Linked DNA regions of Drosophila melanogaster. The gene in region 2 interacts genetically with the main gene of each other region. Each region holds a gene or a part of one and is shown on either strand. Other genes may lie near its edges. The genes, in order: rec and hdm.

Evidence for each region.
Region 1: of hdm (region 2) and rec, changing one suppresses a phenotype caused by changing the other (phenotypic suppression), as found in Drosophila melanogaster (one study listed by BioGRID).

Annotation. Positions count from the first base shown.
Region 1 is NT_033777.3:15,829,492-15,834,589, forward strand, and holds the start of rec (recombination-defective), read right to left. Parts: upstream 3,142-5,098; 5' UTR 3,127-3,141; coding exon 863-3,126; intron 831-862; exon of another isoform or gene 779-830; coding exon of another isoform or gene 674-778; intron 603-673; coding exon of another isoform or gene 460-602; intron 398-459; coding exon of another isoform or gene 57-397; intron 1-56. Other genes in the region: CG4576 (uncharacterized protein), read left to right, coding at 57-397, 460-602, 674-778; CG43318 (uncharacterized protein), read right to left, coding at 3,277-3,792, 3,900-3,902; CG43317 (uncharacterized protein), read right to left, coding at 4,033-4,443, 4,545-4,874. UniProt on the Drosophila melanogaster protein: Required for meiotic DNA recombination in females. Probably not involved in DNA repair and recombination in somatic cells.
Region 2 is NC_004354.4:7,917,830-7,922,114, reverse strand, and holds hdm (hold'em), read left to right. Parts: upstream 1-1,983; coding exon 1,984-2,899; intron 2,900-2,950; coding exon 2,951-3,107; intron 3,108-3,210; coding exon 3,211-3,598; downstream 3,599-4,285. Other genes in the region: YKT6 v-SNARE, read right to left, coding at 751-1,225, 1,315-1,439. UniProt on the Drosophila melanogaster protein: Single-stranded DNA-binding protein required for meiosis. May be involved in the resolution of recombination intermediates into crossovers in the meiotic recombination pathway.

The DNA.
Region 1 (5,098 bases), on a different chromosome or scaffold from region 2:
TCGGACTTAAAAACTTTACTACTTGATTACAATCATTCTACCCATCTACCAAACAGAACCCAGAAGGATTCCTTTATCGGAGATCGTCAATTCACCGAATTCTACACGTCGTCCTTTATGAACTTCGGTAGCTATTTCTGTGGAGTCCTGGCCGCTTTGGTTTACGATCAGTTGGCATTGAAGCAATACAAACTACGGGAGTTAAAGAGCTTCCAGCTTCTTTGGTTTACACTTATTCCAGTGGGGATTCTATGGCTGTTTAGTGCTCATCCCATCTTCCAGCACTACTACGTGACGCCGTCGGCCATTTGGGGAGCATTATATGCCGGCCTGCAGCGAAACATCTGGGGCTTCGGGCTGGGAATCTTCATCGTGGGCATGGCCAGCAAAGTGGGATGTAAGTATCAACTGCGAGATATGCTTGGTATATCCTTGGCAAATCTTACTGTTCTTTCACAGGGATTTTCCGTAAGTTCTGCTGCTTGCCCATTTTCCGCATTTTGGGACGCCTCACTTATGGAGCCTTTATCGTCCACCTTCTTGTGGCGAGAATCGTCTTGGCCACAGTGCGGGAGCCCATTTATTTTGGCACGGGCATGATGGTGAGCTCACTTCTGGCATTCAATAGGAATTGGATTTTATGTAACTCAAATTGTTCTCATCTTATCTACAGTTTGCTTTCATCTTTTTTACGGTGACCGTGTCCTATCTCTGCTCCTTCTTGCTGGCCATCTTTCTGGAGCTTCCCGTCTCCTCCTTCCTCAAGCTTATGAGGTAGCCCAATGTCCTAACTTAAAGATTACTTATAACTAGAATAAAAGACATAACTTAATTAAATCCGTCACCAAAAAATTTCACTTACCCTGCGCCAATCTGGCTGGAAACGTCTTCATCGAGATTGCAGCTTCCTTTGAGCTCAAGGAAGTAACGCAGAACAGCATTGCTGGCGTCCTCGTTTAGGACCGGATTTAATTCCTGGCGAGCATAGGACAAGAACTTCTTAATCAGTATGGGTGGGAGCAGGTCCAAGTCCCCCTCCTCCGGAAGTACCTCCAGACGTTTGTCAAGATCATAATCCTGCTGCATAATGCTGTCATTATCGTCCTCCGTTTTGATTGTGTCATCATCTTTTCCCGCTGCCGGCACATTAAGGCTGACCTCGCACATGGAGTCGCTCATTTTGGGCTTAAGAGCATAGCGGGCTGCAATTCTCGCTCGTTTCCTAGCGCCCGCATGGAGAGCCCTTACGTGGGCAGTCAGCGACATATCTCTCTCCGAGGGCTTGTCCAATAATATGTAAACCAAATGGAACTCCCGCAGCAAAGAGGGTGAAATATTAATATTCTGTAGAAGGTAGCGCCCCTCATCGTATTGTCCTCTTTGTGGATTTGCGCACGCTATCACCGAAGGTTGCGCCGGGAATGAGGCAAATGCTCCTGCAAGTGGAAGATTTACTTCCTCTGATTGTAGGCACTGCAACAGTACGGCCTGCTTGGAGGCAAGTTTATCCACATCATCGAGGGTGCAGTGACCGCCTCCACTGGCCATCATCAAGGAACCCGCTTGTAGCACACGCTTGTTACGCCCAGCAAACGTAACACCCAGTTGCTGTGCGGATTGAGCCCCACGTTTTCCACTCACGTGGGCACCACGTTCAGCGATCTGAGCACAACTTTGCAGAATCTTGGTCTTTCCAATTCCGGGATCACCCACCAGGAGCACGTTGATGGCTTCAGTCTCCGCACCTTTCCCGCCGAGAAGGGATAGTAAACAGGCGGCTTTGGGTAGCTCATGTCCGTATACCTCCGGGGCAATGGATTGCACCAGTAGCTTAAAGCTGTTGGGTTCCGCATTGATCATGACAATCGCTTCCAAGTCACGTTCGCTGAACTCCCGCTTGATGCTGCTCGCATCGCGAATGCTGACTGCCTTGAGATAGGGCTGCATCTGGTTGGAGGTGTCTCCAGTGGTGGTATCGTCGCCCAATTCCTGCAGCTTAAGGATGCCAGTTACCACGACCTCCTGTCCGACACGCACAGCATCAACTAGATCATGTCGCAGCTCCACGTCCATTTCAGCAGGCATGCTGGTCTCAAAGTCGTGGACCAAGTTCAAACTGGACTCCTCCACGCGGATAATCTGTCGGATTGAAAGCCTGGTGTATGGGGAACTGCGAAGAGGCACGAATTCGTCACGAGCCACACACTCCGACCGCTTGCATTGATAAGGACGTGGCTGGAAGGTTCCCCGTTGGCGCATGGCAATCTCCATCTGGCAGCGACTGCAGCGAAAGGCTTGCCACGTGAGGCTGTAGCTAGGCTCGCCCACATTGCTCACAAAACCCCGGATGGAAAACAAAGTGTCCACTCGGGAATGGCTTATTCCTTCTATTGATTCCACAGGCACAAAATCATCCGGTCGTGCGTAGATCTTGCGTACCCGTGGGGTTGGAAGGACGTACTGTTCCGGAGTGGACACCATAGCTGTGGTGGAATCATTACAGTCCAGCTGGTGATTGACGACCACAGTGTGCATAGCCAACGACAGGGTTCCTAGCGTGCGAAGCGGGTGCTCACGGATGTCTTCGGACAAACTAGGCCAAACCTCCTTTAGCTGGGCATCTGATTTGATGCCTGCTGCGCAGAGGGGGAAGAATCCCCGATCCCGTATCATCACAAAATCGAAGGTGTGAGGATTACGTTGGTAGTATGCCTCCACGGCCATTATCCTTGTGGCCAGTTCGTTGCCCTCCTCGTATTTCTCGCGCAAGAAGTACAGTCGCCAGCCGGAATAAGCCCGTGGATTATCCACCGCAATGCTCTGCACCTGGAGCCCGTCTTCTGGTGCGGCATAGTTTTCCGGCCGCAGAAAGCTGCAGTCCAAGTGAGCATTGCGTCCTCGCTTGCCGGCTGTGCGGCTCCAGCCCCTGGGTTGCCGAGTTGCAGGCGGAACAGAAGGAGCGTCTGGTGCTCCAGGTTCCCCTTGGTTGGGTTGTCGATTGCCTCCGGCTGGGATCACACGTCCATTGCGCCGAAAGTAGAAGTACGGACGGTAGGCTCCGCCTCCGCGACCACGACCACGCACAAATCGCGATGGGGCGCCCCCCCGGGAAAGCGTTGGATTCATTTCAGCTGGGGAAAGTTTACAAATTTGCCCGCTTTTAAATAGAGATGATACCTATATTACAAATGACATGAAATATCGATAACGATCTTTGGCTAAGATATTGAACCCTTAACGATTTTATATTTAAACTTATAAATCGATGTAATAAAATTATTTTGGAATTATTTCGGCGGACACTTGTGATATCTTCGATTCTTGCTTCAGTATGCTCAGCTGGGCGGGAAGGTAGTGTTCAAATACACCCGATAGCTTCGACTTGACCTCACGAAATGTTTCCAACACTTTTATCTCCTCGTTCTCATCAGTGGGCTGCACGGCCTTTAGTTCATGTAGTAATTCGGTGCAGCCGTCGAGGAGCATCACCTGCTTCAGGTGAAGCTTAAGCAGCTCCTGCTGAATTGTCTTGATGCACTGGATTTGTTGGTCCATGCGCAGTGGAATCGTGGAAAGAGCCAACATTTGCTCCATATGCTTTTTATCCTTCACGAACATTTTAGCAGCACTTTCCATGGCTTCAGCAGGTTTTGCTTCAATCTCCTTGGGATCTTTGTGCTTTTTATCCTCCACGATCGTTTTATGAATAATTTCCATGTTTTCAGCAGGTTTTGCTTCAATCTCCTTGGGATCTTTAATGCACGGAGCTTCCGTCTCGGTTTTAGCTGGAATCTGTAAGGGAAATTAGGGCTTACTAACTAACTAGCCTTAGAAATTGACAGCTATCGCCTTTTTTTTTGGTTATCTACAGCTTTGTATTTATTTATTTTTTTTTTTACCATTTTGTTCTCTGCTGAAAAGTTTTAGAGACCGTATGCAACCAATGATAAAACTGAATAGCAGATCGAATACTAAGTCAAAGCCTCCTTTTAATAAGAAACTCATAGTTTTTTACAGAACATTCAGAGCGATCTAGGGTTCTGGTTTCTGGTCACCTTTTTTCGGGAAAAGTGAACTCAGATTGACGGGACAGTTGTCCAGGCGGGCCAGTTGCTTAACCATGTCATCCAGGAGCAGGCTGTTCCGCTCGTCGGAACCCTGGATGAGCCCGTAGGCCTCTGCGTTGGCGATTCGGTGCTGCAGAAGCGGCATGTAGGGTCCATTGAAATGCGGCTGTCCATTGGCCAATTCCGGCGGAGGCTTAGCAGTGGGAATAAAGTCCGTTTCCGACTTTGGGGACCGGCAAGTCGGCTGGTTTGGCCGAAACTTTGGAGTCCTATAGCCCAACTTTCGCTTCTTTTCCGCCTGCAAGTGATTTTCGCTCACGTCGTCGGACTCGTAATGATGGTTATAAAACCGGATGCCGTATATTGCGGGCTTTGGCTAAATTAGGTAGATTTATCTTTAGATAAATTAATATTTTGTGTTATAGATAGTGTTGATGGTTAGAAACTGAGACATATCTCCAAATCTCCAATACTCACAGCTCTCTTGCGCTCCTCATCGTAGCCATCGTCATCCGAATCATCATCCTGTTCATCATTGTCCATTTCAATGGGAATCCGGTCACTGGTCACCGGCACCTGGGGCACGAATTCTGAGGCACTTGCTCGGAGTCCATTAGGGGAGACCGCGGTCGGCGGAGAAGCAGAAGCCGAAGTCGGAGGAGTAACGGCTGGAGTCACCTCATTGCTCATGGACTCTAGTTCCAGACATAAACGTTTGTAGGCCATCGTGGTTCTTTCCAAGTGGTTGAGATCCAATTTGCCAGCGATATGGGCAACGTTCTGGAGGAATTTTTTACTTTCATCCATAAAGAGCGAAGTCACAATCAAATTCCTTTGTGGATGGCGCAAACATTAAAAATTTTAAACATTTAACACAAACTTGATTTGTTTAGCATTCGATGTTTCGATTCGATTTCTGACAGAAAATCTGGAACTGTCAAACATATTTAAATTGGTTGATGTACAACAATTTATAAAAAAATATTAATAACGAACTAAAAAACTTGTAGTATTTAATGGAATTGTCCACA
Region 2 (4,285 bases):
ATTTGCACTTAAGATAAAGTGGTACGTATTACATAAATAAAAATAAGTTCATGTGCTATGTACAGAGCTCGTACAAATAGTTTGTACATTTTGCCAAAATTGACAAAGATAAGGTTTGTATATGTGAGCAATGAAAACGAGCTTGGTTCACATTTCCCATAATACTTCTTTATTGAAACGCCCACACATTCCGACCGCCAGTTGCCCGGATCGGAAGTGCGACTGCATGTGTATACATAGGTGCAGCCTTCCGATCCGATTGGTATACATAGATCCGCCGTGGAGGCGATAAGAAGGCCCACAACATCAATAGCTAGCAAAGGGCCAATTTTGGACCGCCGTGCCAACACATAAGTGAAGAGAAGATTATGTTAAGCACATGGGTTTAGATCGTAATCTGTATTGGTAGTAATTAACATTTAGATATCCAAAGCGTAGACATATACAGACAGGTAGACATTGGGTTAGCGGACTATCGTAACTGGCAACTGGCCATCCTATTCATACAGTATATAATATAATATATATATATAGTATATAAAATTAACTAATTCATTTATAAAAAGCAATCATCAAAGCCCAAGTCGCACCGCTCCCTTGGAGTTTGTTTGGTTGTAGTTTGTTGGTGTTATCGTGTTATCCATTATCCTTTGTGTTGTCTTTGATTTGCATTTTCTGGTGTTTCCTGTTGTGGTTGTTGCTTGAGAGGATTAGCGTGTGGTGGGGGGTGATGAGAGGTGCAGCTGTCGTCTAGGTGAAGCTGCAGCAGGAGTTAGTCTTTTTCGCCGTCTTGTAGAACGCCTTGCTCTGCAGCGACAATTTCTCCGACTTGCTGACCATGTCGTCCAGCTTCTCGCCCCGCTCCAGCACCGCCTCGATGGTATTCTTCAGTATGATCTTCGTTTCGTCCAGGTCGTTTTGCATTTTCGTCAGCGGATCTGCTTCGACGGGATTTTGATAGCGTGCTAGAAACGCTGGCAGCAAGTCAAATGAGATAGTGGCCTCCGTGCCATTGGGCCACTGATCGGCCGACACCTTGGCCGTAAAGTCATCCAGAATCTTTGTGATAAGCGTGTGCGCCACGCGATGCGGATACTCATGATCGGCGATCAGTACACCGGCCAGATTGTCCGCCCGCACATAGACATGACACATGTAGGCATCCTGTTTCACCGATTGCCGCAGGGCCGGCTGTGTGCGCTCCACAATCGTCTTCGAAGCGAAACTGCAAGAGGAGGAGTTGTTTAGGGGGGTGTTCGTCATTGATGACTCTTTGAGCCTGCGCCGTTCTTTGGCATCCACATGCATACTCACGTCATGAACTCGTTGACGGTGCCACGTTGGAAAAAGGAGAAGGACTGCAGGTCCGAGGCGGTCTTCAGGAGACGCGCCTCGCTGGCGCCCTTGTGAAAGATGCTCAACGCGAATAGTTTGACCATTTTGAGTGGCTGTGGGCTGCCAAGACTGGGTCTGCGGGTCGCGGGTTGCTCGACTGTTGCTCCTCCAATTAAATGCTTCTGGGGCACTGAGCTGAACGGTTGTCCTGGCTAATCCTACTATGCTCCGGCGGATGGGTTTCACTTTCAGCGCACTGGCATTCGTGGAAAAGTGCGACAAGTGAGTTTGTTTAACGCAGTAAATCTGTGCCGTTCCCCTCTGTGTGTGCGTGTGTGTGTGCGCGGGTGCACATATGCGTAGTGTGTGTCAGCTTATTAGGGATGGTACGTCTGGTATTCGGATGCCATCCGATTATTATCGATTCCAATGGTTACAATTAATAAGCGCAACTTTCTGTAAATGTTTTAATTGTGGTTTTTATCAAACTAAGTTGTTAGCAATACTTTCTGTTACTAACTGAATCTACGGCCATTTGTGGTGTACCATCACTACAAACATCGATAACTACTAATCGGCGGTAACGGCAATGTAACGGTTTTCTTAAGCACTGCAATCTGACTGGTCGCGATTTCTTAAATAATTTCAATGGCAAGGCGTATTAAGTTCCAGCGGTTGGCAGAGATGCGTCCCACAATGACCCGTTTCTCCACCGTTGCCCTGATTGTCTCCAAATCCTCGCCGAACATCTTCTATGACAAGATGAGTGGCACCGAACGAGGGGTTCTCAGCTTGACCATCCGAGATTCCCCCAATCACCTGACCAATTGCAAGTGCTGGGGCCAGCGGGACTGTGTGGATGAGTACGCGGCCATGCTGCAGATCGGCCATGTGGTAGACATTGTGGGCGCTAAAGTGATGTCCATACCGTTTGCTGCTCCGGGAGAACAGCGTTATCAGCCCCAAGCGACGGTCTCCTGCGCCCTGGTGGTCAACGAGGGATCCGGCTATGTGGTGCGCCACGACAATGACGACTTTGGCCAAATAACAATTCTCCAGCAGTTACTCCATCAGCCCATAAGGCCACTTGGTGCGGTCCTTAAGCTGGCGGATGTGCGTTCCGGCTTGGGATTTCCCGATAAGATAATCACCACCAATGTGAATCTACTGGTAGTAGTGGCTGCAGTGCGTCCAGTGCGTCAGATAAAGCGAAAGCTGCAGGGGCCACTAAGTGAGGTCCAGGAGCTGCTACAGTGCTTGGAAGTAATCGTGATCGATGCCAGCTATCCGGAAGGTATGCTGCTCTCCGTTTGGCAACCCGACTGGATACAACGTGCCCAGCAATGGCAGCCACGTCGCACTGTCCTTCATTTGATCGACGTGCGTGTTTCCTACTCGAACTTTCATCGTTCTCTCGTCCTCTCCCATTCCAATTGCACACTTATTTGCGAAAATCCTCAGGCGGCTGGAGATGATTGCCGTCTCTTGCTAGCTTTCGCCGCCACTGTGCCTCTAACAACTTTTAGTGGCTGTGACCAGGCAGAGCTGGACAACATGCCTGCAGGTGAGTAAAGGATAATTAATGCAGTATTATTATTTACTATAACTCTTTCAGTTGCCAGCATTCAGGCGCAGATGACGGTAAGACAGATATATTCACGCGCCGAGGGCGAACTGCAGGATCCGTCCATACATCAGTTTACTGCAGTGCTGTATGGGATGGTCACCAAGTTCGACTTGGATGGATTGACCTCCCACGTCAACAGGAAGTGGTGGGTGTTGTACATCCCCATCCCTTCCTAACCGCCGAAACGCTTCCCACTATCCGTTACATAGTTTACAAGACATATTCTTAAAAGCCCTTTTATTTTACAGCATTGCCTGTCAACAACATATACCACGGAACCTGCAAGATTGCGCCTCGGACGCCTGCCAGCAGTATTTTTCATTGGACAATGATGAACCACGATCCATTAGCTACTTCAATATCAACATTCATTTGTCCGACCAGACCGGCACTCTCGTCGAAGCCCGGTTAGCTGGACATCCGGCAGAACGTATCCTGGGACTTCGGGCTGAAGACTTCGAGCGACTGGCGGAGCGCGAGAAAAGCGAGCTAAAGTGGCGCTTTCTGCTGAAATACTTCGAGGTAAGATTGATGATCAAAAAGCCGGTGGGAGTGCGCAATCATCTCGTCATTGTGGTCGTCGACATGCAAGCCATTCCCCTGGAAAAGCTTGTCGCAAATATGGTCGTTTTCTAAGTGTATGTGGGGTGGTCCCATCAAAATACTGGTGAACCATCTACATAAATAGCGATCTTTATTTCGCATTTTCACATAAAAGTGTACAACTGCAATACATAAATAGATTGAAAGCGCCTCGAAACTCTTAATGTGGGTCCTAAGTGGGATACGTTTGGCTCATTGGGGATGAATCATCTAAGTGTCATTTTGCCTAGTGTTACAGAAGGTGCCGGTGTCTTTGGGTCGTGGTGGTGGTGGGTGGGTGTCTACGGGGCGTTTCAGGTCCACAAAACTGATTTTGGGTCAATTCTAAATGTTGTAATTTCGAGTTGTGTGTTTTAACATGGTATCAAAATGCATTTGGATAACCACAAATGCTTAAGGATTAATGCTTCTTTAAAGTCCTGACTTGCGACTGTTTTATTGTGTTATCAAACGTTCTGTTTTTTAAGACAGCCTCAATCAACGCTTAGTCTTTAAGATTATTTGATACCATTACCAATTTTGGTCAATTAGGAAATTTCAAATACAATTTTTAATTGATGGTTATCGATGTGCAACAATTGAATCATTTTAATACAAATTCGAAAAAGAATACAATGTGTGTCAATACGGAAGTTGCTTTATGGCCATGGAACGCACTGTTCTGGACGCCCATTAGCTTGCCTCAAACTAATCTCACCTGTTGTGTTTCTATAATATTTT